7 linked regions of the Macaca fascicularis genome follow. The protein of the gene in region 3 interacts with the protein of the main gene of each other region in a pairwise test. Links are inferred from orthologs where the notes say so. Each region holds a gene or a part of one and is shown on either strand. Other genes may lie near its edges. The genes, in order: TBC1D22B, RALYL, FXR2, NT5C2, EWSR1, PSME3 and MEAF6.

Evidence for each region.
Region 1: the proteins of FXR2 (region 3) and TBC1D22B interact in binary tests that used the Homo sapiens proteins (3 or more experiments, as listed by UniProt). The link is inferred for Macaca fascicularis from reciprocal best matches to the Homo sapiens genes FXR2 and TBC1D22B.
Region 2: the proteins of FXR2 (region 3) and RALYL interact in a two-hybrid assay, tested with the Homo sapiens proteins (2 studies listed by BioGRID and IntAct). The link is inferred for Macaca fascicularis from reciprocal best matches to the Homo sapiens genes FXR2 and RALYL.
Region 4: the proteins of FXR2 (region 3) and NT5C2 interact in binary tests that used the Homo sapiens proteins (3 or more experiments, as listed by UniProt). The two-hybrid records come from large-scale screens. The link is inferred for Macaca fascicularis from reciprocal best matches to the Homo sapiens genes FXR2 and NT5C2.
Region 5: the proteins of FXR2 (region 3) and EWSR1 interact in a two-hybrid assay, tested with the Homo sapiens proteins (2 studies listed by BioGRID and IntAct). The link is inferred for Macaca fascicularis from reciprocal best matches to the Homo sapiens genes FXR2 and EWSR1.
Region 6: the proteins of FXR2 (region 3) and PSME3 interact in a two-hybrid assay, tested with the Homo sapiens proteins (2 studies listed by BioGRID and IntAct). The link is inferred for Macaca fascicularis from reciprocal best matches to the Homo sapiens genes FXR2 and PSME3.
Region 7: the proteins of FXR2 (region 3) and MEAF6 interact in binary tests that used the Homo sapiens proteins (3 or more experiments, as listed by UniProt). The two-hybrid records come from large-scale screens. The link is inferred for Macaca fascicularis from reciprocal best matches to the Homo sapiens genes FXR2 and MEAF6.

What each region holds. Positions count from the first base shown.
Region 1 is NC_088378.1:134,372,258-134,375,757, forward strand, and holds part of TBC1D22B (TBC1 domain family member 22B), read right to left. Parts: coding exon 3,427-3,500; intron 2,910-3,426; coding exon 2,839-2,909; intron 1,452-2,838; coding exon 1,323-1,451; intron 1-1,322. UniProt on the Homo sapiens protein: May act as a GTPase-activating protein for Rab family protein(s).
Region 2 is NC_088382.1:94,051,792-94,055,886, reverse strand, and holds the start of RALYL (RNA-binding Raly-like protein), read right to left. Parts: upstream 2,801-4,095; 5' UTR 2,572-2,800; coding exon 2,556-2,571; intron 1-2,555.
Region 3 is NC_088390.1:7,664,414-7,668,389, forward strand, and holds the start of FXR2 (RNA-binding protein FXR2), read right to left. Parts: upstream 2,801-3,976; 5' UTR 2,436-2,800; coding exon 2,355-2,435; intron 1-2,354. UniProt on the Homo sapiens protein: mRNA-binding protein that acts as a regulator of mRNAs translation and/or stability, and which is required for adult hippocampal neurogenesis. Specifically binds to AU-rich elements (AREs) in the 3'-UTR of target mRNAs.
Region 4 is NC_088383.1:112,133,141-112,136,640, forward strand, and holds part of NT5C2 (cytosolic purine 5'-nucleotidase), read right to left. Parts: intron 2,560-3,500; coding exon 2,476-2,559; intron 1,161-2,475; coding exon 1,119-1,160; intron 1-1,118. UniProt on the Homo sapiens protein: Broad specificity cytosolic 5'-nucleotidase that catalyzes the dephosphorylation of 6-hydroxypurine nucleoside 5'-monophosphates.
Region 5 is NC_088384.1:22,402,433-22,406,626, forward strand, and holds the start of EWSR1 (RNA-binding protein EWS), read right to left. Parts: upstream 2,801-4,194; 5' UTR 2,746-2,800; coding exon 2,733-2,745; intron 1-2,732. UniProt on the Homo sapiens protein: Binds to ssRNA containing the consensus sequence 5'-AGGUAA-3'. Might normally function as a transcriptional repressor. EWS-fusion-proteins (EFPS) may play a role in the tumorigenic process.
Region 6 is NC_088390.1:63,889,481-63,893,655, reverse strand, and holds the start of PSME3 (proteasome activator complex subunit 3), read right to left. Parts: upstream 2,801-4,175; 5' UTR 2,717-2,800; coding exon 2,642-2,716; intron 2,554-2,641; coding exon 2,521-2,553; intron 2,397-2,520; coding exon 2,334-2,396; intron 2,140-2,333; coding exon 2,035-2,139; intron 1-2,034. UniProt on the Homo sapiens protein: Subunit of the 11S REG-gamma (also called PA28-gamma) proteasome regulator, a doughnut-shaped homoheptamer which associates with the proteasome. 11S REG-gamma activates the trypsin-like catalytic subunit of the proteasome but inhibits the chymotrypsin-like and postglutamyl-preferring (PGPH) subunits.
Region 7 is NC_088375.1:197,413,592-197,417,606, reverse strand, and holds the start of MEAF6 (chromatin modification-related protein MEAF6), read right to left. Parts: upstream 2,801-4,015; 5' UTR 2,793-2,800; coding exon 2,703-2,792; intron 1,606-2,702; coding exon 1,490-1,605; intron 1-1,489.

The sequences.
Region 1 (3,500 bases), on a different chromosome or scaffold from region 3:
ACAAATTAGGGCTGGGTGCGGTGGCTCACACCTGTAATCCCAGCACTTTGGGAGGCTGAGGTGGGTGGATCACCTGAGGTCAGGAGTTCGAGACCAGCCTGGCCAACATGGCAAAACCCTGTCTCTACTAAAATTACAAAAATTAGCTGGGTATGGTGGTGTGCGCCTGTAATCCCAGCTACCCAGGAGGCTGAGGCAGGAGAATTGGTGGAACCTGGGTGACAGAGACTGGTGTGAGCCGAGATTGCACCACTGCACTCCAGCCTAGGTGACAAAACAAGACTCCGTCTCAAAAAAAATAAACAAAATATTAGCCGGGCCTGGTGGCGCATGCCTATAATCCTAGCTACTCGGGAAGCTGAGAGGCAGGAGAATCACTTGAACCCAGGAGGCGGAGGCTGCAGTAAGCCAAGATCACGCCACTGCACTCCAGCCCGGACCACAAAGCAAGACTCCATCTCAAAAAAAAAAAAGTGGGGAAGGACCAAAAGCAGTTGGCCTTCAGTAACTGAAGCTGAAAGTTCTTACTTCTGTTACCTAAGACGTCACTATGTCCATTTCAATTCGGGGATTTCCCAATGCCCAGTCTAGCTATGCAAAAGAATGTGTCAGCAGCAGCAGCAGAGGCTACTTCAGTTCTTGAGGCTTGTTGTAGATAGCTGCCCACCTTTCACTTTCTGCAACCCCTGGCCTACTCTTCTCCTCCCTCCATGTGTGATGTTGGGAGCAGACCTTTCTGCAGACCATGAGGACCATTATGGGCAGACGGAAGACTCCCTGACAAGACTACTGATAGCTACAGCTCCTACAGACAGTCACAGAGGCCGAAACAGCACTGCAGCTGCCAGGAAGACATACGGATGTCATAGTCCAGAGGGACTGGACCACTGCTAAGTGAGCTTGTCTTTCCTCTCCATACTCGATAACTCTTACTACTCATAGCGTGGTTGGTGGACCAGCAGCAGCAGCATTGCAAGGAAGCACATTAGAACTTCAGGTTTTACCCGAGACCCGCTAAATCAGAATCTGCATTTTCTCATAATCTCTAGGTGAGATCGTATCAAAATCCTAGGTGATTTGTATGTACATTAAAGTTTGAGAAGCACCGCACTGACTAGTGCCAAAAAAGTCTGTCTATTTAAAATGGCTAAAATCAGAGCTGCTGAATGAAAAGAGGGGAAACAGTTTTGAGGATAAATTTAACTCCTAACCAACATACCACAGCCTGAGGACTTGGAAAGCCTGTACCCTGAGAGCACTACCATGAGACACACCTAAAGTGTATGACTGGTAAGCAAAGAGGCAGCAGGTGATGACTATACCTGTCTGTAGGTATCCTGGTGATGTTCCTCATTTCGAGAGTCATAATACTGTTCAATGAAGCCAAAATATTCCTCCCGCTTCCGCTGCAGGGTCAACTTTCTCCTCTCAGTGTTTGCTGGGAGATAGCCCTATAGACAAGACTGCTGGTCAGATAGGGAAAGACAATGGTTGGATAAATCCTTAATTTTTATTTTAATCTATGCAGTGGTTTGGAAACTATCAAGAAGGAAAACTGCCAAGGGTAAATCCCTTCTTGGTTCTGGCCACCCATTTTTTGCCCTCTTCTCATTGAATGAGATCCACATGTGAGCAGATGAAGCAAGGCCAGCTTTCCCAGGATTATTTACTCCCTTGGCCCTGTACTGTGCTGAAGCTTGAGCCACTGGTGAGCACTCCTCAGCTCCCAGAGCTGGCACAGTACAGGAGTGAATGTAGGTCAGTGGGAGGGAGCTGGACCCAAGTCATGGCCTTGGAGGGCTGCGTGTGTCCAGGGCCATACTTCTGAGAAATGCAGGGATATAGCAACCTCTACAGCACATCTCAGCAGTGTGCCAAGTAAGTTGGTGCCAGTTACATTCTTTTCCAGTGTAACTTTCAGAATTACCAGCTTAGGAAGCAGCTGAATGGAATCCGTGACATAACAGCTACAACACTCAGACAGAACTTCTGGCAGCAGCCCCCAGCCTAGCCAAAGCTCCAGGCCAACTTTCATTCTTATCCTTGGTCTAGATCCCACTTTCATTCTTATATTTTCTGTTCCCCTTCCGTTCTCACCAAATCTACTCTGAATAGCATTCAAACTGATTAGAAGTGGCAGAGGCAATGATTACATGGTTGCAAGAGTAGAGGTGGGGCGAGCAGTCAGGAGACAGACCCTTCTTCTTGAAAACATTTATGTAATGCATTCCACAGTGAGTGCCTGGAGAGCAGGGACTGTGGTTTATTCATTTTTGTATCTGCTCAGAGCATCTGGCACTATGCCTGGCAAACAGCAGACCCTCAATCAATCCTCACTAGATGAATGAATGAATTTTACAGGCTCAGGAAACCCAAGTGTTCCTATCGTAGCGGCTGGCACAGTGCTCTGTACTTGGTGAAAGCAGGACTAGTAAGGCTTCCAAGGGAGGCCCATTTATCAACTCTTTACAGATCAAAGTGGGTTTCAACTTTTGGTTACTCCAACTGAAACAGGAGTAAAGCACAGGGAATGTTTGAGCTTGCTCAAAGCAAGTGCTGGGGTCACCCTATCTCACTCACTCTATTCTTCTTCCTCGCTGTTAATAACGTGAGACCATGACTATTGGTACAAGTCTGTGTACCTCTACATGTGTGTGAATAAACTCTCAAGAAAGTGTTTCTTTATGCACAGAAATAGGACTACAGTCCCATAGTTCTGTCATATCCAGTAGGACTAGAGAAGTCTATGGAGTTAAGACCAATGTGTCCAGACTAACCTCATCAGGCAAGAAGGGCTGTGTGAGGCTCACACTTCTCTACACAGTAGGTAGAACTCACCGACAGGAGTCTCCAGGTTACAGGTCGAACCTCCCTGGGAACCCCTGGCCAGCTACACTTCCTCAGTTCATCTGTAAACAGAAAACAGCCTTGTTAGGTGAACTCTCCACAAATGCTCTAAAGCAAACCGCAACCAGCACTGCCTGATGTCTCCTTCCATTCATGTAAGACCACCACCACCACTTGCTACCCATAAGCACAGGGAAAAGCCCAAAACAGCCCTGAGCAGCCAAGTGCCAAGGACATGGCCTTGCAGTAGCAGTCCTGTCAGCTCAGAGATGAAAGTTAGAGGGGAAGAGAAAGACCAGTGGGTGTAGATTTCAGCAAGAGTCACCATGAGATAGAGGAGATCAAAGTCAGAATAGTTGCACTAGGGTCTACAGGTCACAGAAACCAGTCCCACCTAATTTGGTCCATAATCTCTAGTAACATATGTCTGACTTAATACCTGCATGTCACTGCAATGGGCACCAGGTCAGGAGAAGCTAGAAAAGTAAAAGAAGGAAGAATAAAGAGCAGTAGCTTCCAGGTCTCTGAGAATTCCAGTCACCAAAAGCTCCTACCTTGCCTGGGCTCACAGGGACTCACCTAAGTCAGTGTTGTGGCTGGAGAGAAGCTGACGGAATTTTTCTAGGCGGGTTTTCTCCCGGACAGTCATTGGG
Region 2 (4,095 bases), on a different chromosome or scaffold from region 3:
TACAAATTAGAGAAAATAAACCAACTATCATTTTTAAGAAAGGTAACGCATCTATTATGGCTAAGGATGTGTCTTTATAATTGTATGTTTGGAACTTTTCCCCCTTGTATATACAACAACACAGTGTGACTATTTGATGCATGTTAAGAAAAAAATTAGGGTGCTACGTGATTGTTTATGTCCATGAAAAATACATATAAAAATAATTAATTGTTAATCTTCAATGATGAAAAGTTATTCATTTAAATATTATTCGACAGACCACACACTCAAGACAGAATTCCAACTAGAACTTTCTTTCTTTATATCGATTGAGAAAGACACTGTAAAATTAATTTAGTAATCCAAGATTTTAAACAATACCCACATTTTATTATCCCATAGAAAGTCCTAGAAAATTTAATAGGTTTTCATTTTGTGATTATTTCTTTGTCACAGTTGAGACAGTAAAATGTTTGAGGTCAGATAGTGATCCAATGCCAATTTAATTTGTGGGTCTTCTTTCTCTCGGTCCCTACCTTTACCCTGGAAACCCTCTCTCCTTACAGCATACAAACTTTTTTTCCCTCCTTCTCTCTCAGTAAGCAGTTGAAAAGATCTGCACAATTAAATTGATGTAAATCCCTGTGGGTTTCTTGGCGAATGAAAAAATGTATTTTTTCCACGAGAAGCCAGTAGGCGGTGCTAAATGTAGGATACTACCTTCAACAATTTTAAATCAAAAACTAAACAGGTGGCCAGTTTAAGAGTTGTAGAATTCCAAGTATGATTCACACAGGAAGAAATTTGAAAATTTTGAATGTAATAGGCACAAATGTAATACAAGTATACAATATAATCAAAAATGAATCTTAAATAAATGAAAACATAGATAACCAAAGGTTCTTAGAACGGTCTTAAGTTACAGAAATTAAAGCCCAACTACCTCTCTGTCCTCACATTAAAATCGTCTTTGGTCCCATTAATGGTTTCAATCTCATTGGGAAAGATCATACAATACAGCTAGTGTTTTGTCCAATCTTAAGACACAAACTACCTCTACCTTAGGGCAGCAACTGATACTCTTAATGAAAATGCAGGTTCGATCACTCAAGCTCTTTCTTGCTTGCTTGCTCTGTCTCTCTCTCTCTTAAAAGAACTAAACGACATACAACACATAAAACATACAAAAATATATTATACACACAAATTGTCTTGCTTTTTAATAAATAAGCACTTCTATGTACATACATTGTTATAATTTAAATGATTTTTAAAATCACAGAATGTTGCAAATGGCTTTTCAAATGTTTTATGTTAGCTATTTGAACCATATGTTAGCTGTTTGAACCATATATTTTAGTAATTAGCTCACTATACAAAATAAGAAAATCCTAATTTCAGGCTTAGTGCCATCATATTGGCTTCAAATCTTAGAACTATACACATCAAGATATCAAATATGGTGTCCACAGACAGTGACATAAACTATCTTCTTTATATAAACGCAAGAGGATTTCCTTCACAGGGAAAAGCTACTGTGAGAACAAAATACCTCACATACAATGAAATGTCCAAAGACTTTTGAGATACTTGCATGAGTTGTGAATAAAAAATATATATAGCTTTCCAGATATTACACTAACTTTTAATCTTCTACAGATAAATGGCCCTTTGCACTCCTTACTTTTTGACCACAAAGAGTAAAAAATAAGGCATAAAACTTTTCATTCCACAAACTGAGGTTACAGTGAAATATTTGCTTGAAAAAGCCAGTGTATGTTATAAACCCCTTTGTCATGGGCCCCTCTGTATGTTGGAGTCAGTTTTTATTTCTGTAGTTACCCAGAAGAAAACTTCATCCGAGAGGTAAAAAGTTGTTTCATTTGCCTTATGTTTATTTTACAGAATCCAAACTACATACACATGATAATTTAAAGCTAAGCTTTTCATTTAAGGGGGGGAAAGGTAAGAAAATCAAAGTATTTAAATAATGGTGACTCTCCAGATTTTAAGATGTATGCCTTTACGAAATTTATTTGGACAGAAAAATTTCCAGCAGATTCTGTCACAGTGTTAAATACAGAAAAGGCTTTTTATTGCGAACTGGTCCATCTCTGAAAAGTAATGCTAAATTATATTGAAAACATGTAACAGGATAATCATAAAATAGAATACATTCAACACTGAGTATTTCAATGCTACCAACACACGAAATCATCACCTCTATCACCAACCCCTCACTCCTGCCCTGTACACAGTTCTCAGGGGAAAACCTTTAGAGCCAGTATCAGGTGGTTAAAAAGAGGGAAAACTCTCCCTCTAATAAAATTTAAATAAGGGGCATTTTTATACCTTACAGCTGTAGGGTCATTACTGCAAACTAACAGCGTCGTCCTCAACATTAAACCCAAGTGACCATCTTATAAGAAACTATTTCCCCATTCCCTGGAAGACGACACCAGCAGGCACTTAAAACCAACGCAACACAACAGGCATAAAGAAAAGATCCAAAGACAGCACCACTAAGAAAGCAAAGCCCTTTGGAAAAGCAAAATAGGCTGGGAAAGACCTACTGCGTCGTTTACTCATTGCGAAGAGGAGGAGCAGGAGTTGAGCGTGCGGGGGCCGGTGCCATCCTCAAGGCTCTGGAAATGTCTCGAGCTCCGGCCCCCGTGGCCTGGAGCCAGTCCCTCCGGAAGATGCGGTCTCTGCCGCTTCTTCCCCCATCTCCCGGGTGCTCTGGGGGTCCCCTCTAGCCGGCCCGACGGCCCGCGCCACGTACACGGCCCTCGCCCCTCCTGCTGTGCAAGTGGCCCTCGGAGAACTTACAGGGCCCGCTGGCCACCTAGTGCCCGGCCGGCGCCGACCGCAGCGCAGACACCACCCGCCCAGCCGGGAGATGACCTGGGCGCAGCTCACGGTGGGGGGTGGGGGGAGGGGACTGTATTTTGTGCACATCTAGAAAACGATCCTGAAGCCGGGAACTGACTTTGGTTTTCCCTGGCTCCCGGCGCGGCTCTCCCCACCTCCGGCGCGGACACTGCCCGGAGATACGCGCGCGCAAACACAGACACACACACACACACACACACTCACACTCACACATTTCTTTGCTAGGACCAGTGTTGCCACTGCACACCCGGGAAACGCCTCCAAGGGGACCAAGTACCTGCTCTCTGCGAGCTGCTCAGCTGTTCACTTCATCCTCCGTTGACAAGGAAACCAAACCGCACTTCTTTTTTTTTTTTTTTTTTTTTTTTCCAGAAAAACCTTCCACTGCCATCATTTGAAAATTGATTTACGGGGAGGGAAGGGGGAGAAATAAGGGACAATATAGATATAGATATCAGGATATCTATCATAAAATTATCTCGGTTTTTTTAAAAAAGTCAAATGTGCAAAAGTCATAGTTAATTTAAAGGAGGAAAAAAGTATTTTGCTTAAAAATGATCCCAGTCACCAGCTGTAAGAAAAGTTTCATGTTATCAATGGGTATCAAAAACAGGAGGGAAAAAAACGAATTTGTTCTCACCGGCTTCCAAAAAGGGCACAAAAATATAAAATTAATGTCTTTGCTCAGTGGTTTGCACCAGTATTGCAAGACCACAAACTTGTAAACACTGCCGTAAAATCCCACCTATACAAAAATGTTATCAGAAAAAGAGTATGCAAAAAAAAGAGTTAGAAACATGCTTTTTATTTTTACAAAGGAAAAAAATAGGCACCATACTTCACATCGCTTTTTCCATAAAACCAGTTGCACATTTTGCTGGACTTGGGAGACGCTCCCAGCGGGCACGGTCGCCGCGGACTCCGAGACACAGCGCCTTGTCTACAGAACGATCGCATGCTAGAAAAACTTGGATTCAGGAAAAGGCTCAAAATCATGCTCCTCCAGCTTTCCCAAATATAAACAATAATCAAAGAAGTGGAAAAAAAGAAAAAAACAAAAACAAAAACAAAAAACAAAAAACAAAAAAAAAGGACAAAAAAAAGAATAGGACAAGAATGCCACTGAGAAGGTACTCACCGAGCGGGAGTAAAATGTTGTAATAAAAATGAGATTTAGTATAAAATACAGTATGGCGGTGGAAGAAGGAATGAAGCGCGTTT
Region 3 (3,976 bases):
GACTTTCTGCTGGACACTTATATGTAGAACAGAAAACGTGTCCCTTCCCAGCCATCTCATACAGTTCATTTGAACTGGATACCAATCTTTCCCAGCTGTGCAGGGCTCCTGTGCTTCCTAGAACAAAGCAAACATCATATCTTGATCTTGGACTCAACTTAAGAATGACTTTTCTTGGAACTCAGAATTTTGGGGTGGTAAGGACCCAGATGAAGGAAAAGATACCGAGGGAAACAGGGAGGGCCACTTTAGGAGGCGTATTTCAACAAAGGTAGTGCAAGTTTGGGGAAAAGGATATGAGAGATAAATGTGCTCTATCAAAAGCAGAAAGGAATTAGAGACTTTTGCCAAAAAAAACAGAAATGCTATGGAGGCAGGCTAGAAGAAAAAGTCCCAAGAGTTAGGCAAGTATGCAGAAAATGACAAAAGAGATCAGCAGGGAGCTTCCTTCAGCTAGACAGGGAATTAGGTGATCCCTGGGGATTACACAGGAATACAGAAGTATTAGGAGAAAAAGCCAAAAACTTGAATTGAGACAGTAAGTTAGACATGGGTACCCAAAGTCACCGCACAGAAAGAAATCTGATGAGGGAAGTAAGGCAAAAATGGGTAAGTATGAAGAGTAAGTAAAAAATGACTACAATGGCGCGGTGGCTCACGCCTGTAATCCCAGCACTTTGGGAGGCTGAGGCGGGCGGATCACAAGGTCAGGAGATCAAGACCATCCTGGCTAACACGGTGAAACCTCGTCTCTACTAAAAATACAAAAAACTAGCCGGGCGTGGTGGTGTGTGCCTGTAGTCACAGCTACTCAGGAGGCTGAGACAGGACAATGGCGTAAACCTGGGAGGCGGAGCTTGCAGTGAGCCCAGATCGTGCCACTGCACTCCAGCCTGGGTGACAGAGCCAGACTCCGTCTCAAAAAAAAAAAAAAAGACTACAATGAACTTAGCAACTGAAGTAGAGGCAGAAACCACCCAAGGGAAATTACAAGACCCTCTACAGTTACAGAAAATATGACTTAGGGAAGGAGTCAAAGAAAGACACTTCCAAGGGCATGAGAAACTAGAGAGGGCTACTGTGGGGGGGAAAGGCCTGAGGGGAACAGAAGGAAAGGGGGAAGGGGGATCTACTCTTAACAAGTAATGCCATGGGAAGGTATCTCTTCTACAGCTCCCCAAGGTGAAATCAAAGAATGAGACAGAAATCAGGAGAGTCTCTGGGACAATTCCAGGCATCAAATCCAAAAGAGGTTCAGAATAGCAACAGTCGAAGAAAAACTCTTGGGAGGCAAGAAAGGGTTCTCTCTGGCTTAATCCAAATGGGAAAAAAATGTCCTAGAAAATGGATTCAGAGCAGATAAGGAAGGTGGTATTATAAGGAGTTCTAAGGAACCAAATCCTGGGCAAAGGGGGAGGTCAAATAAGGAAAGGTCTTTGAAAGATGATCCCTTCTTCCAAAAAAGGTTGTCAGATTCCCGAACTGGGATAGTTGGCCAAGAGTCTTCAAGAAGTGGAAATCTTAAGAAAAACAGAAGGGAACCCCATGAGCTTCCTTTTAGAGATCCTTTTAGAGATCATGACTATGAAGCTCACATGCCTCAAGACGAAGAAACTCTAAGAATGACCTGAAGGTATCTGAGGTCTAAGTGAGACCTCAAATCCATTCTGAGTAGAATGGTAGACCAGTGGGCCTTGAGATCAAGGTGTGGTGGGGTGAAAGACTTGCGAAAGATGCCACCTTATGGCTGGCTGAGAAGCAACTTGACTGATCCAACCCAGGGTTCCTGAGGTCAAAGATGCCAAACGTCGTAAATGGATCTGACCATTTCTCCTTGGCTTGGGAACCGGAATATAAGCTGAAAGTGGGGTGAGTGTTCCAGAGTCAGTAGGCAGAGGCCTCTCTGAGGAAGATGAAAGGATCCGATATGGGACAGAGGGGGCCTTCCCAAGGGGACCGTGCAGAAGAAAGACAATTCTCCATGTGCCTGGACCGTGGGGAAGATGTGATTAAGGTCTAAGGTATGTCTTCCATCAGACAACGGAAACAGTCAATTAGAAGCTGGGTAAAGGGGTCTCTCCTGGGGAGCGGGGAGCGCCAAGCCAGGGACAATAATGGCCTGAAGTTCATTCTCCCTGAGATGGGGGTAGAAGCAGGTGCATTAAAGGGCTCAAAAATAAAAGGAACAGGTTCACTCCAAGAGGTCTCTCAGGGAAGGCTGCGGGTGGGAGCAAGGGTCTAAGATTCTAAGGGCCAGGACTCAGCTCCAGAAGCTCGATCCCGCCCCACGCGTTCCTGCTCCGGCCGGGGGAGGGGGCTAAGGACCGGCGTCCCCAGTCGGCGCGCCGTCTCACCTTGTAGAAGGCCCCGTTGGAGCCGCGCACCTCGACGGGCAGTCCCGGCTCCACATCCCCCCCAGAGGCCAGGCCGCCCATGGCGCCGCCACCGCCTCCGACTCCCCCGGCGGCGGCTGCAGCAGCAGTCTGAGTGCGGGCCGGGCCAGGCCCCCGGCGTCTCCCCGGAGGAGGAGCCGGAGGGGGAGCCGCGGGGGGCGGGAGCCGGGCCGGCCCCACGGCGGCCCTGCCACAGCCAACGAGCAGGGGGCCGGGGCCGGGCCGCTCCCCGTCCGCCGCCGCCGCCTTGGTCTCCGCCACCGTGAGGGAAACGGCCGCCGCCGCCGCTGCCTTCGTCACCTCAGCTTCCGCCTGCCGCCGCCCCCGCTGCTGCCTCAGTCCCGGGACCCGCTGCTGCCGCTGCCGCTCCACAGCCTCCACCTCCCCCTGCCACCGCCTCCTACTGCGCAGGCGCACCGGGCACCCGCCCGCTGCGCGCGGGGCCCCGAGGGCCACGGCGCAGGCGTCAAGGTTAGAGCCCCAGCTAGCGCTAGCCAGCGCATCGGGGCTTCCACATTCCCTTTCACTCTCTCACGCCCCCTCCTGGTCGCTTGCTCGCGCTTGCGCAGAACAAAATTAGCCTTCTTTCTCCACCGCCCCACCGCCCAGCAGCCCCGTCTCTTCCTTTCCGCGCCCCACAACCCTGAGAACCAACCAATCAGAGGGAGGGAGGGGCCGGGCTCGCTCAGTCCGATTGGGCGGCGGCCGCACAGTCACACAGCGCTCAGGCCACACCCACGCCGCCGCCGCTGGCCCCACCGGGCTCGGACAAGTTAGGGATGGGCATGCGCCTGAACGACTGCTTGGTCACTTTCCCCACCTTTGTCTTTCTTGGTGCGCACGCTCCAAAAAAAAAAAGAAGAGAAGTCGCCGCAAGGAAAAAGGTGCTCGGTGCGCACGCGCTGAGCTTTACTGTCTGCGCGCATGCATCGCCTATCTTTTAAGAATCTGTAACTGTGCTGTAGTAGATTTAAGTCATAGCTCTTGCCTTGAAGAGATTGTGATACAATGAAAGTTTTGGCCAGGCGCGGTGGCTCACGCCTGTAATGCCAGCACTCTGGGAGGCCAAGGCGGGTGGATCACCTGAGGTCCTCGGATCACCTGAGGTCAGGAGTTCGAGACCAGCGTGGCCAATATGGTGAACCACCCCACCCCCGCATCTAATAAAACATAAAAATTAGTCGGGCGTGGTAGCACGCGCCTGTAATCCCAGATACTCGGGAGGCTGAGGCAGGAGAATCACTTGAACCTGGGAGGTAGAAGTTACAGAGAGCCGAGATCGCGCCATTGCACTCCAGCCTGGGCGACAGAGCAAGCCTCCGTCTCAAAAAAAAAAAGAAAGAAACGAAAGAAAGTTTTAAGAATAGTAGAATAGTTTCGGCCGGGGGCGCTGTGGCTCACTCCTGTAATCCCAGCACTTTAGGAGGCCCAGGCGTGTGGATCACTTGAGCCCCCAAGTTCGAGACCAGCCTCAACAGGGCGAAACCCCGTTTCTATTAAAACTACAAAAATTAGGCCGGGCGCGGTGGCTCACGCCTGTAATCCCAGCGCTTTGGGAGGCCGAGATCACTGGCGGGCGGATC
Region 4 (3,500 bases), on a different chromosome or scaffold from region 3:
AGGGAGGATGCAGTGAGCCGAGATTGTGCCACTGCACTCCAGCCTGGCAACAGAGCGAGACTCCACCTCAAAAAAAAAAAGTACTGTGTCTATGTATTATAAGCCATATCCTTTGGTAAGCAGACAAGGTATAAAGAATAAATAACTGTATTCTACACATTAAATTGTTTCATCTACTACTAAACTACAATAACTTATTTTACAGCACTTTAATATATGAAAGTGTGCTCAGCTGAAATTTGCTAAAAGGAGCTCAAAAGAGCTAGGAAGAGATGCAAATCAATACCCAAGGGACAGATTAAGAGAGAGGTAGATCAGCATCAGAGCTCAAGTATACAAACTAACATGGAACTATTAGGAGATTTTACTGGTTACATTCTCAGAATGATGGCTCTAGGTATACACTGGGTTTTGGCTCATAGTGTAAGCTAATCACAATACTAATAATGAGTTATGCCCATTAAAATCATGACTATCCTGAAATGGAACCCTGGCATTAACCTTTTAAGACCAACCTGAAAGACACTGCACCCTGTGATTTCAGGTGTTCTCAAAACGAATTTGCTGATGTTTATTCACTAAAGTCTAGGACTAAAATTCTGTAAGTATGTGACTAAGTTGCAAGGAGTATTCCTTAAACCTAAGTGCAGCCCTTCTGCAGAAATGAAGACTTCTTTGCTAAATATCAAGGTTAAGTGCTGTCTTGGCAAAAACTTAGCAACAACTAATACAAAATCTAGAAGTTGTCAAGAATATACACACATTTTCTGTTTAAATCAAATATCTTCCACAACCTGAAAATTCCTTTCACTGCCACACAAACTTAATTCTGCATAGAACTTCTTGGGCATAAAATTATTCTGATCCCATCCTACTAAATATCACATGAATATCCCTTTTATTTCTGTCTACTAAGTATTCAAGTTGTGGACTCTAAATTAGCAATTTGATTTTAAATTCTACTAGCTCCTGGATTCTAATGTTAATGAAGATTAGACAATAGGCTTAAAAAGCAGGACTTTTCTGGGTGGGTTCTGACCAATTCTTTCCCCCTTAATATTCCAGAATGATTAAATGCATTCATTATTACTAAAGCAATGGTCTACTGAGTCACATACCTTGGGGCCATGTGGGAAGTCAAACAGGTAAGTCATAATTTTCTGGAAAAAAAAAAAAAAATTTACCATAAGGTCCATATACTACTTTTGCAAAAGGCATATAACCTAAAGAAATTACAAGCTCTTCACAAAACATGTCTTCTTCAACATAGGACTCACCACATTCTTGTTTCCTCTAAATTTTATGAAATCATGGCAGTGGAAGCCAGAAATTAATGCTTTACCATATACCAAAAAGAAAAAAAGGCTTCTGACATTCTCAGGGAGGATACATACTTCCTCTGGAAGATGTTTTTGAACACACATTTGGAGGTAAGGAGCATATGAGGTAGGGGTACAGAGAAAACTAATGACTCACACAGAGATAACCTATCACTTTGGCTTTGCTACTACCATCCCTAGACCAACTAAGTCAACAAACCAATGGTTTATATAAGACTATTTACTACAAATCACCAGGTGTCTAAATCAAGTTTATATGTACAGCAAATTGGGGGAAGTGGAACTTCTTGCTAGTACTATAAACTTGTGTCTCAGCAAAGTAAGATGAAGTTAAGGAATTAGATCAGTTTTTCCACATGCTTTAATCATGGGAAAAAATTGTTTTTAAGAGGTAGTAAATTTTGGGCTGGGCGCGGTGGCTCACGCCTGTAATCCCGCCACTATGGGAGGCCAAGGTGGGTGGATGACGAAGTCAGAAGTTCAAGACCAGCCTGTCCAAGATGGTAAAACCCCATCTCTACTAAAAATACAAAAAAAAATTAGCCGGGCGCAGTGGCAGGCACCTATTGTAATCCCAGCTACTTGGGAGGCTGAGGCAGGAGAATCACTTGAACCCAGAAGGCAGAGGCTGCAGTGAGCCGAGATCACACCACTGCGCCCCAGCCTGCGTGACAGAGTGAGACTCTGTCTCACAAAAAAAAAAAAAAAAGATGTAGTAAATTTTGATGGCTAAGAGCCCAAACATCTGTGCACCATCTATTGCTGCAGGTCTTCCAACAGCAGGGAAGTCATATATACACATCAATAAGGGATGCGACTGCTCAAGTTTATAGAAATGATGCTCCAAGGAGACACAAAAGCCATTTTAATCTTTACAAATATTTTAAATAACCCCAAGATTAAAATTTTCAAGTAGCCAATCATAATCCGTGAAAATGGTTAAAATAAATTTCTAGAAAAATTTAAGAACCACTGTTATTATCCTGTATATTTTTGCCTTTTTACTCTTTGAAAATGAGAAGGCAAGAAACTACTTTCACTTAATAAACTTCTATCCTCCTCATTGTCTTCACAGTTCTTTAGGCCAAAATAATTCCACTGAATAAATAAACAAATATAAACATTAAGCACTTACATCTGTATATTTATAGTCACTGTTGGTAGCAAGAAATACTTTCCCTACTTCCTTCATCCGGCTCAGAAGCAAAGGCAGTTTTCCCTGAAATGTAATTGGATAATGAGTGAAACATAAACACATTTTTATCTTTATACTTTGGAGTTGTCATATACTGGATTTCTGTCCACAATAGGAATGGGGGAACCTTTTAAGGGTTAGCTGATTTCGGAATTTTGCACTTAAAATCCCACATTATCACTACAAATGAATAAAGTGTTAACATATGTAGTATACACAGTGTATATAACAGATTTACATGTAAAATTATACACATATTTATCAGGGTTATATGGCTGTTAACAACATATATCTACCTTCCTCATGATGTCTGCCTCAGGAAAGAGTTTAAATTAACTTAAATTAACTTGAGATTTCTTGAAGTATGTGAGGTATGTTAGAGATCAGGAGAAGCTGACTTAACATGCTCTACATAGAGAGTATCAGATATGGCTTTCAGTGTGTATACTATGGTTTTATAAAACACCTTGCAGAATGAAATGACATGTGCAGATGCTACCTAGAAATACCCACACCCATGTGCGCTTAAATGAGGAAATTCTAACCCCTCACGTGCCTGGAAAGAAAAATACCTTTTCCTTCTCTCATAGCAAATAGATTCATTCCTTCACTCAAATTCTCCCGGACCCTCCCCATTCAGTGTTCTTTCTTGAAATAAGGGAGGTGGGTGAAAATAGGAGGCACAAAAACTGAAAACAAGAAATCTTTACCACAGTACTTTGAGAAAATACTGTATTCTGCTACTTTTACTCTGTAGGAAAAGAAAGAAGTATGTCATCTTGGGGCACTATGTGTGTTTAATTTTTATTCTAAAACAGTTCTAGACTTATAGAAAAGCTGTGAAAAGTAGAGTTCCCATATATTCTTCCTCCAGTTTCCCTTAATATTAACATCTTACATAGCCACAGTACAATTATCAAAAGTATGAAATTAACATTGGTACAATACTATTAACCACAAATTTT
Region 5 (4,194 bases), on a different chromosome or scaffold from region 3:
CAACAATTGACAGCTCTTTATTGCATCCACTTCACGCAATCCAAAGCCAGCCTCACAATCCCTCGGGCGGCCTGAGAGAGCTTTGCTGAATCCATCTCTTCACGTTGGCTTATCTGTCTACCCCTCTATACGTTAGTGGACTACTTTCTTTCCTTTGTACACACTCGTAACTCAAAACCCTGAATCACCAAGAGGATCAAATCAACTGCCCAAAGGCTACCTATAATGAAAAAATAATTTGTTCATGGCAATCTTAAAGGCATTTTCAATAGCACTACAAGTCATACTCTCTGTGACATTAAAACTAAATGCAAATCATTTCTTCCACGTGGCATATACAAAATATACACAGCAATGAATCATTCAATATCAAATATTTTAATCCACGTTTTGTTAAGGTCTTTGAGAAATGATTCTAAATCACCGACATGTAAGTACAGTTTGCAAGACGACTTTTACACAATAGCAGTTATGTAAAACATAAAACTGGCAAAGCTGATATGGAACAACTAATGACCTCTTAACAGTGAGAAACCAAAGGATTCGGCCCTATACTAACTGGTGGGCTATGGAAGGTAGCAAATTTGTTTCATGAACTTAAGTTTATCTTCCTAGAGCACACAAACATCACTGGACCTCAAACAAGCTATTAGGTTGGTGCAAAAGTAATTGCGGTTTTTGTCACTAAAATGGCAAAACTACAATTACTTTTGCACCAACCTAATACAATTACAAACTGGTCAGATTATTCAACAACCGTGTTTGTTTTTAACCCCCAAAAGTGAGCCAAAGACTTCACTAAAAATCACTTCACTGTGATTGAGGGGTGGGGGTTCTAGACTGCAGCGAGTCTTTTCTACATGAGATACACACGAGGAGAGAAAACCTCTATTATTATTAACCCAAGGCAATGCTTTAACACTTTATAGCAGTCACTATGGAAGTTGCTTCACACTACCTGAGTTGAAGTCAGCATGGGACAAATTTGTGGAATGGTTATGCAGGAAGGTCAGAAAGGCTCAAAAGCTTAACAGGTCTAGCCTAACTTCTGTATTTTACAGGAAAGGAAACTAAGGCCCAGATTACTTATGTGACTCTCTGAAGGCCCCCCAGCCAGGCCTAATGTGTTTACTTTGTGTCAACAGAAACCACAACTGTAATTCTAATACAGTACAAGCACATGGTAGTTACTAGTGAACAAGGTTTGAACAAAGTTGACTGAAAAAAAGACATGTCCGGCCATGCAAAAATGTCAACGCACACGTTATGCCTTTTCAGGCTTTTGCAGAGGAGAAGAGGGTGGATAGGGAACCTAGGAAACCACTTTCCACCAGGAGGTTTAGCTGTGGTATTTCAGAGTCCTCTCTTCTACAGGCCTTCTTTGGTATCCCAGCAAGAACACCCAACACTTACCTGTTTACTGACCACACAGATGGGGTGAATTCTTAAACTGTCCTTAAGTTGCTGGATTCTGGACTCTAAAAACTCTGGAGGGTCCAGAGCTTTTCCCGTCTTCCCTCTCATCTTCTCCCACTGTCTCTAAGGCCTGGAATCAGGTGGCCTGAGAATACCCCCAGAGGCAAAAATGCTCCACCCTGCCAATTTCCGCGGGTTAGTGTACCCACAGCTTGCGAACTGCAGGTGGTGGCTAGGCGACACTCTTAAATGCTCCTTCCATCAATGACCACTCTACTCCCATTTAGGAGTTCCCATCCGGGGCTTGCTTTCAAGTGCCTTTAAGATCGCCTCTACTGGCCTCTTTTCCCTCACCTCTGTCGACCTACGAAATCAACAGGCCTGCCGGCCTAACGCAGGCGAATAAACGTGCGAGACCACTGCTGAAATATAATTCAAATGCAGGCTCGGCCTTTTGTTCCTCCTAGGTCAGAGAGGCCAGAAATACCTTCCTGGTAGCATTTCTCGTCTCTCGATCCAGGCTGGTCTTATTATACAACGGATGTCCCTCGGCGTTTGCAGAAAAAGGGCCCTGGGAAGCCACTTAATTGGTTTTGGGGGAGGGGAGGGCGTGAATTAATAAATAACGATAAAAATAGAGAAACCCAAAAAAGTGGCAAACTGGGGGCCCTGGAGGAGGGAAGCACATTCTGTCTAAAGCCCAAGAGGGCAGAAGTTCGGCTTGGGGCTGGAAGACGCCGAGGGGGCAGTTCGGCAGCGCCAGACGCCCCAGCCGACTGGGCCTTAAAGATGACGGGGCTCCCGCTCATAGGCCGGCACCCCTCGGCCCACAAATCCACGGTATCTTTCTTTGCTTTTTTCCCTGGTTTCTCGGGAAACCCTGAAAACGCGGAGGGAGGCCTCACAGGGATAGCAGCCTGCGGCCTCCCCGGCGGTTTCACAGTGACCGGCTCGAGGCCTGGCCAAATCCTCCGCTTCACGCAGGGCCTCGAAGGCCGCAGGCCCCGCCCACGTGGCGGGAGGCCCGGAGCGCAGGGCGCGAGGACCGCCACACAATGGAGGCCAAAGCGGGCCCCGCGCGCCACCGCCGCAGCGAGCCCCCTGCGCGCCGCGGGCGCCGGAAGATTCCAGAACCGGCCCGCCCGGTGGGGGGAGGGGAGAGGAACGCGGATCCCCGAGCTCGTCGGGTCGCGGCGGGTGCCTCAAACCCCTCTCGGCAACTCCACTCAGTCTTCCCAGCCAAGCCCAGAGACGAACGACCCCCAGTTTGGGCGTTCCGGCTACCGCCAGCGCGACCGCAGTTCCACCATACTCACCCGTGGACGCCATTTTCTCTCCTTCCTCCTCGTTCTCTCAACGTCCGTCTCCCTCTCGCTTTCCCTCTAGGCGCCGCACTGCGCAGGCGCAAATCCCGCAACCCCGGGCGCGACCATCAGGCCAGGCCACGGGGGTGGGGTCAGGAGGGATGAACCACCGCTTTCTCGTTCTTCGCGTGCGCAACCCTTGTCCCAATCCTCTCTAAAGAGCGCCCGACGTGACACTCGGGCCAAAATAGCACCTAAGGGGCCAGAGCGCCGGTGAGCGGGTCTCAGTGTGAAACCGGAGAGGCTCTCTTCACGAGGCTAGGTTGTTTGGAATGGTTCCGTCCGCTGGCTCTAGGGACCGTCGCTGAAGAGTCTGCCCTGCAGGCAGACGGAGATCGGCGGGAGGGCTGGGGGAAGGGACCCGGACTAGAACAACTGCTGACTAATCTGCGGGCCGCGGGGAATGGGTGGCGCGCCAGCCGGTCGGCCGGGGTCACGCGGCCGGGTGTGCGCGGAATGGATTCAGGGTTCCCCGATCTCGCCCGGGAGCTAGAGTCCCGACTCCCAGCCCGGGTCCCCGACCGGCCTTTCGGGGTTGCTGGGCGCGCTCTGCAGTGAGTACCCGGGACGCGTGGCCCGGGCCAGCGGGGAAGGGCCCCGAGGCCGGTCGGCTAGGTGGGAGGCCTCGAACGCCGTTTCTGGCCCCGAGACCCCGTCCCCGGTAACGGTCGAGGTGGAGCACGCCCTTTAATCATCCCTCATCCAATACCCTTGTTTCTACAGAAGGGGAAACTGAGGTCCAAGGAAATTGAGTATCTTTGCAAAGTCCCCAGCTGAGTTCGAACCAGACAGATCCTGGGACCCCCTACTCTATCCGCCACCCGGAAGAATCTTCGTCCTTGTCTTTCCATTCTGCCCTCCCGGCTTCCCAGTAAGGTAGGCAGGGCCTGGTGGTGCACTGCCCGTTTCATAGATTGAAGAAAGTGAGGTCGAGGGGGCTCAAGTCCCAGTTCCGAGTGTCCACGGGCAAGCCTTTCACCCTTGCTAAGGCGCCCAGAGCTGGGGAATGGTTGTGAGGTGAGGATACAGGAGGAGGTTTACGGTGGGTGTCTTGGCCCCAAACCCTGCCTCCAGGCAAGGCTGGCCCTGCCCACCTCTCTGGACCTCTAACCCCAGCCCCCTAGCTGGATACCCGGGTCTACGAAGGGCAGGGTTCACCTTCAAATCCCTCAGCAGGACCAGGAGTCAAGCTAGTGTCCTTTTTTCAGTGAACATATATAAAGCACTGGTTGTGTGCTGCGAATACCCTGGGAAAGGTGGGGTTTGATCAGAGGAGCCATGAGCTCAGACCACCTGCCTAGGGAGACAGACTGGTCAAGCTGTGCTCCTAAGGATAAGATCCCTGATGTTGGGGGGCCAGAGGAGGGGAAGGGATATTTGAGCTGGGCTTCCAAGAGTAAAATAGGAGTTTGCC
Region 6 (4,175 bases), about 56 Mb from region 3:
GCGAGACTGTCTCAAAAAAACAAACAAACAAAAAAAAAAGGTTCTTGGGAGGCGAGGCGCGGTGGCTCATGCCTGTAATCCCAGCACTTTGGGAGGCCAAGGCACGTAGATTGCTTGAGCCCAGGAGCTCGAGACCAGCCTGGGCAACACAGGGAAACCCTGTCCCCACAAACAAATACAAAAACTAGCTGGACGTGATGGCACATGTGCCTGTAGTCCCAGCTACCTGGGAGGACGAGGTAGGAGGATCGCTTGAGTCGAGGAGTTTGAGGTTGCAGTGACCTGAGATTGTGCCACTGCACTCCAACCTGGGTGACAGAGTGAGACTCTGTCCCCCCTCAGAAAAAGAAAGAAAAGGTTCTTGCCACAAAGCAAATTATGCTGTAGTTGGGAAGACCAATCTTTCCAGAAATACAACATATTAAGTATTACAAGGAATAGGAAAAAAGAACCTATCAAAGCAGGGAAGATAATTAAGGGAATACGTACAAATCTTCTGGTTCCACAAAGGAACACATTATTCAGTCAACAACCATGCATTCAGCAATTGCTATGGACCAGGATCAACACTAGGTGCTGGGAATACAAAGATTAAGATAGTTCCTGCCGACCGACTACGGTGGCTCACGCCTGTAATCCCAGCACTTTGGGAGGCTGAGGCGGGTGGATCACCTGAGGTCAGGAGTTCGAGATCAGTCTGGACAACATGGTGAAACCCTGTCTCCACTAAAAATTTAAAAATTGGCTGGGCTTGGTGGCGCGCATCTGTAATCTCAGCTACATGGAGGCTGAGGTGGGAGAATCACTTGAAACCGGGAGGGGGAGGTTGCAGGAAGCTGAGATCGCGCAACTGCACCCCAGCCTAGGAAACAGAGTGAGACTGTCTCAAAAAAAAAAAAAAAAAAAAAAAAAGGTAGTTCTTGCCTTCCAGACGTACAAGTTCTGTCAATGAGGCGGTACTACAGACAACAATTCAGTATCATCAGTGTTATAGCAGCATGCGGACACATGACTGATAAGGACTAGCTGTTAAAGATGTACAGCAAAACAGCGATTGCAGTTACACAGCAAGAACTTCATATCCCATAACACTTATCAAGACACAGAAACAAAGTTAAGTCTTGTTCAGAACCATGGGAAAAACCAGGTAACCTGATGAAGCTAGTTCTCTCCTTTTTTTTTTTTTGAGACAGAGTCTCGCTCTGTTGCCCAGGCTGGAGTGCAGTGTCATTATCTCGGCTCACTATAAGCTCCGCCTCCTGGGTTCATGCCACTCTCCTGCCTCAGCCTCCCGAGTAGCTGGGACTACAGGCGCCCACAACCACGCCCAGCTAATTTTTTGTATTTTTAGTAGAGATGGGGTTTCACCATGTTAGCAAGGATGGTCTCCATCTCCTGACCTCGTGATCCAACCACCTGAGTCTCCCAAAGTGCTGGGATTACAGGTGTGAGCCACCGCGCCTGGCCAAAGCTAGTTCTCTTTTATTTGAAACTCACTCTAACACTGAGAGTAGCATTAGCACATTCACTTCACATCGTAAATGAAACTCAGGGTCTAAAAGGAATATACCGGAGGCCTCGTGCAGTGACTCATGCCTGTAATCCCAGCATTTTGGGAGGCTGAGGCGGGTGGATTACTTGAGCTCAGTGGTTTGAGACCAGCCTCGGCAACATGGTGAAACCCTGTCTCTACAAAAAATACAAAAATCAGCTGGGCATGGTGGCACACTCCTGTAGTATCAGCTACTTGGCGGGCTGAGGAGGGAGGGTCACTTAAGTTTGGGAGGTCCAGGCTGCAGTGAGCAGTGCTCACGCCACTACACTCCAGCTTGGGCAAAAAAAAGTGACGCCCTTTCTCAAAAATAAATAAATAAATAAGAAATAAAACAACTATACTAGAGTCATCATGTCTGTAACAGTCCTAGTTCCCAGATCCAAATCCCACTGTTGCCTCTGTACATCTTAAACTGACAAGGAAACAGAGGACAGAGGACCTACTGCTCAAGAACACAAAGATAAATATAGGACACTTACACCATCCAGTCCATCATGGCTATTGGTGAGAAGAATGGGGTCAGGGACTGGGAGATTCATGTCAGAGTGGATCTGAGTTAGGTCATGGATGTTTAAGATTGGTTCCTGAAAGACACCCACCCCAAAACATTAATCTTTTCAAGCTGAACAAAGAAGTATTTGATTGAAGAGCAAGAAATGAAAGCGCTTTTACAGTTTAAAAAAATAAAAAGAAGAATCAACACACAATTAGTTCCAGTTGACAGTAATACCAGGGCCAAAAAAATAGGGGAATTTGAGGAAAGAAAAGGGTCTCTCACCTTCAGAAAACTATCAAGTTCTAACAACTTCTTTGGGAAAAAATTTGCCACCAAGTCTTCTGCCTAAGGAGGAGGGAAAATACAGCTGAATTAATATCTGTGGGAAGGTCTCTCTCTCTCTCTCTACAGATATCTCCTCTTTGGGAAACTCTCAACCAACACTCATTTTTCTATTTATTTCACTCACCTCACTTGTGATGCGTTCCCTGAAAGAATCAACCTAAAATTAACAAAGAGAGCAATTCAGTACCTGGGGACAGAGGTAAGAGCAGGATAGAGAATCCCAAATCCAACTGTCTTTCCCTCACCTTGTAACTGTAATAAGAAGCTGAGAGGCCCCCAGACTGCAAATACTTTATTTTTTTGAGGATCCATTTTTCCATCTCAGGAGAAGAAAGCAGGGCTTTGAGGGCAGCACCTGCCTGTCTCCTCTCTCCTCTCCCCTCCCTCCCTCCTGTGTCTGAAGCTGTCTGAATTTGATAAGCAGACAAAAGACAGGTAGTTAGGAAAGATGTGAGCTCACAAACGTGCCAACCCCCACCCAGACCTGGCCTATGATACCAGGCAGGCCAGCCACCAAGGGCAGGGGCAGTGTCCAGGGACGTTGTTGGGCTGGGGGATTTCCAGCTGTCACTGGCCTAAAGCCCTGAGTCCAACACGTGTCCGCGGAGGTGTCCCCGGGACTCTCCATCATCAGACGCGGTACAGAAAGCCATCCTATATTTTCCCCTCCCGCGAAGCCGACCCCGGGAGTTGGGGGCTGGGCTGAGTTGAGCGGAAGCTCAGAGCTGGTATCCCCAGGGAGACAAAGACGACATGGGGAGTAGGAAGCCAGTCAGACTGCTGGGGGATCAAAGCGAGGGGCAAAAAGGCCGGACCGGTGCCGCTACCTTGAGCTTCACTTCCTGATCCACCTTCAGCAACGAGGCCATGGCCGGGCCGGGCCGTGTCCGATCCGCTGGACACCGGAGGCGCTGTGGACTCCAGGGAGGGGGCCGGAGGGACCTGAGAAATCTCGGCTGACCTCGGGACCCGGCCGCCCTCGCTGGCTCACTCACTGCTCGCTTGCTCCCTCCCTCCGTGCCGTCCGCCCGCCCGCCGGCAGCCTGCTGCCTGGTCGCTCTCTCGCTCGCCCTCCCGGCTTTCGCCGCTCACGCCGGAAACTGCGTCACAGCCAATCGCCGAGACTCCTGCGAGGCTGTGCACGTGCGCTGCGCAGCCGCGATGAGACTCGGGTTTGGATGCTCCTCCCGTTGGGTAGGGGTGAAGTAAAAAGGAGAGCTGTGGGGAATGGTGCGCTGAAAACTGAGCCTCCGAAAGACTCGGAAACGGTGCGACCCTCTCTGTTGGCCCGGAACTCGCCTTCACCGAAGGGACCTCAGTCGCTGCAGTCCCGGGGACAGCGCCGTCGCGCCCCAGTGACGTAGGCTCGGGGAAGTCGGGGACCCGGGTACTGGGTTCGGGGTGTAGTCCCTGATTCCCGCTGCCTCTGCCCGTTTGCCAGGCTCAAGTGTTTAGGCTAGAGCGAAAAACACAAGTGCGGTTGTACCAAGCTTTCCTGGTACATTTCCCTGCCAACTGACTGTCGTAAGCTTCCGGACCTCAAAGATCAACTACCTAATGGGCAAATTGATGCCCAGAGTAGGGCAAGACTTGTCCAAGGCGTTTCCAGTACATCCTGAGCCAGGACCCAGATCTCCTAACTTCTATGGCAGTGCTGTATCTATTTGCCTAATGGAAGCTTAAGACTATACCTCTTCATACACCCATTCATTCGATCTCTCTCTCGACATTGGATATTTCATTCAATAAAATGGGCCAGGGCACTGTCTCAGATTCTAG
Region 7 (4,015 bases), on a different chromosome or scaffold from region 3:
GTTATATAAAACACACCTATTGGCCGGGCGCGGTGGCTCAAGCCTGTAATCCCAGCACTTTGGGAGGCCGAGGCGGGCGGATCACAAGGTCAGGAGATCGAGACCACAGTGAAACCCCGTCTCTACTAAAAATACAAAAAATTAGCCAGGCGCGGTGGCGGGCGCCTGTAGTCCCAGCTACTCAGGAGGCTGAGGCAGGAGAATGGCGGGAACCCGGGAGGCGGAGCTTGCAGTGAGCCGAGATCGCGCCACTGCACTCCAGCCTGGGCAACAGCGTGAGACTCCGTCTCAAAAAAAAAAAAAAAAAAAAAAAAAAAAAAAAAAAAAAAACAACACACCTATTGGGGAAAACTAGATGAAGACTACAAAAGACCATTCTGCCAACTCCCTATGAATCTATAATTATTTCACAATTTAAAAACGTGAAATGTAAATACAGGTGTGTGCTTATATTAATATTATAGAGAGTAAGAGAAAGCAAATGTCACAACACATTAACAATCTGAATACAGGTAGGACAGTATCAAGTGTTCATATACTATTCTTCCCATTTTTCTATAACTTGAAGATAATCCAAAAGTTTAGAAATTTTTTAAAAATATTACTAAGCAAGCAGTGGTACAGCTGGCACACAGGTATGGCAAAAATTGTGAGGGTCAGTTGGGCGTGGTGGCTCACCCCTTTAATTCCAACACTTTGAGAACCTGAGGCAGGAGGACTGCTTGAAACCAGGAGTTCCAGGCCTGCCTGGGCAACAAAGTGAGACCCCACTTCTACAAAAAAAAAAAAATGTTTTTAATTAGTCAGGTGCAGTATTGTGTGCCTGTAGTCCCAGCTAATTGAGAGGCTGAGGTGGGAGGATCATTTCAGCCCGGGAGTTTGAGGCTGCAGTGAGCTAAGATTGTGCTACTGCACTCCAGCCTGGACAACAGCATGAGACCCTGTCTCTTAGAAAAAAGAAAAGTGGCCAGGCATGGTGGCTCACACCTATAATCCCAGCACTTTGGGAGGCCAAGGCAGCAGATCACCTGAGGTCAGGAGTTCAAGACCAGCTGGGCCAACATGGAGAAACCTCGTCTCTACTAAAAATAAAAAAATTAGCCAGCCATGGTGGCATGCGCCTGTAATCCCAGCTACTCAGGAGGAAAAAGAAAAAAAGAAAAGAAAAATACTGTGAGGGTAGAACTCACGACTGATTAAAATGTGTAAAAAATTTAATAGAGTGATGTTGTATAAAGATATTGTTATATGCTGTATTTAAGCCTCACACAACCCTGTGCCAAAGGCCCAACTTTTGCTATTTTACAGACGTGAGCTTTGTCTAAGATTATTCAGTGAGGCAGTGCCTGAGCCAGAGTCCAAGAGTTCAAGTCCAGACCACACCACCACTTTACTACTGCCTCTAGCAAACTTGCTACTAAGAGCCTACAGTCCTACAAACACACACAATAGGAACACAATAGGAACACTACAGGCTTTCGACACTCACTTTTGGTTGGTCAGATACCGATCCCAGCCACGAATAATATTGCCATACATCTGAGTGTCTTCCAGGTAGCTTCCCTCAAAAGCATAGATCTGTCGCTCCAAGTTTGCCAGTGTTTCCTGAGAGATGAAAAACAAGGACATGAATAATGCCTTTTAAATGCAAACACTTAAGTCTGACCAAAATGAAATCCTGATATTAGATTTGTAAACGCAAGCTTGTCCACACTAAATCACCCTGTGGAGAGATGGATGATATGGGGAGGAGCAGCCGTTTAGGACTAAGACAGTCTAGACCTTTGGGTGTGATGGACCTCTGAATGTATAAAGCATGTCCCCAGAAAAATACACACACACGCGAAATTTTGCATATACTTTAGAGGATTCACGGAAACCAGGAGTCAAGAACCCAGGCTAACGCAGAACTTGTGCGATATCCACTCCCACGCACAAAAGGTATCGCTACCAGGAGAGGGAAGGGTGAGCAGCCTTTCAGCGTCAACTCGCTCCCCTCCCCGCAGGCTCAGAGAGGCCGCCGGCACCGGGCTGCCAGTTGCTATGGAAACCTGGAAGGGCAGCTTCAGGTGAGAGGGGCCTCCGGGGTGCCCAAGCCGAGACGTGAGGGCAGGAAGAGCTTAGCCACCAGGGTGCATTGGGCCTTGGGTGCCTGTCACAATTCCGAATTCTCCAGAATGTGTTCTTCTCCCTCGCCTGTCACCTTCTAGATATTCCCAAACACATCACAACCCTGTCTATCAAAAGCCTCCATTCAACGGATCTACTACTAGTACCAAAAAGAACACGCTCCCCACCATCCTCCAAAGTCCAGACAGGGTGACTCGGTCCCCCTCCCACACTAGCCTCCTACCCCACCCCCACCCCGCAAAGATCACGGACTCGCCCGCCTCGCCCTTCCTAGCGCCCTCTCCCCGAGTCCCGAGCCCCGGCACCGTCCTCCCTCCACGCCCCCTCCTGCGGCTGCCGCTGCCCCTCCCCCTCCCGCGCTCCCAGCTCCCTCCCGGCTCCGGATTCGCACAGCCGGGAAGCTGAACCGCCGGCGGGCCGCAGAATGCGCACCCGGCCTCAGGCCGCCGAGCACACAGCCCGCCGCGCCGCGCCCCCGGAGTAACGAACGGCCTGGCGCAGCCGGGCTTGGGGCCTGGAGGCGGGGCGGGCGCGGAGCCCCATGCCGGGCAACCCCGGTCCTAGCCCCTCACCGCCAACTCCTGCTTCCGCTTCACGAGCTCCGCCAGCTCCCGCCGGGTGTCCGGGATCTGCGGCGGCGCCGCCTTGTTGTGCATCGCCATGTTGGGCTGAGGCGGGCGGCGGCGGCGCGAGGTTGGGGGCGGTCCCTGCGCCGCCAGGGGGCGCCCCCCGCACTGCGCCTGCGCGCGCGGCTTCCGGAGACGCGTGCAGCGCCGCGCAGAGGTGCTCTGCGGCCGGGACTCTGGACGATCCTTCTCGGAGAGGTCCAGAGAGTCGGCTTCTGCTCTGCCCTTTACGCCGTTTCCTGCCCCTCGGCTGGCCGCGGGCTTTACAGACGGCACAAATCTACCGTGTCCAAAGCCTAGCTCGTCCTCAGGCCTCCGAGTCTCCTGTGCGTCCCGCCTCAGTCCACTTCAGTGAATGACTTTCACTATCCACCGCAATTGCCTGCGTCAGAAACCCGGTTTTCCTCACTCTGCACCCGGAGTAAAACGCGATACCAGGTCAAGCCCTGTGGATTCGACTCCGGAAGAGCTCGCGAATCCATTTGCTTGTGCCTGCGCCTTTTGCCACCTTCTTAGTTCATTCAGGCCCTCCCTGTTTGGGGCTACGTTATTCCAACAGCTTCTTTATTTCCACCTTTAGCCCCATTTAATCCACTATCCACAGTGGTGCCGGAATCTTCCAGAAACAAATGTTATCACTCCCCTGTTTAAAGCCTTTCAGTGGCTTCCCATTTTCCCATTGCCCTTTGGAGAAACAAGTATGTGTAGTGGTTAAGGGCACAAAACTGGAGCGAGAACTACCTTGTTCAAAATCCTATCGCTACATCGATAAAGTGTGCCCCTTTGGGTAAATAACCAAATCTCAACTCCCTCATCTGTAAAATGAAAGCAGTGATAGAATCTACTTAATACAGTTGCTGTGAGGAGTAAATCAGCTAATGTGTGTAAGGGGTTTGGCAGGTGCCAATGACTCTGCAAGTACGAATTCGCTTTTATCGTTAAGTCCAAGGTGTAGACGTTGTTTTCACTTGGCCCCTGTTGATTTCTCCCTCCTCAGCTCTCCATCTTTCACTCTTCTGCAATTTCGCTATCATAAGTCTAAGTGGGATATTTTTTCTTTTTGTTTTGTTTCTTGCTTGGAAGTCTTTGGATTTCTATAATCTGTGGGTTGGTATCTTCCACCAGTTTTGGGAAATCGCAGTCATTTTTCTTCAGATGCCTGTCTCATATTCTCTCTCTTTCTGGAACTCGAACATAAGAAACCTTTATTTTTAACCTACCGTCTATATTTTCTATCTTTTTGTCCCTCTGTGCTGCAT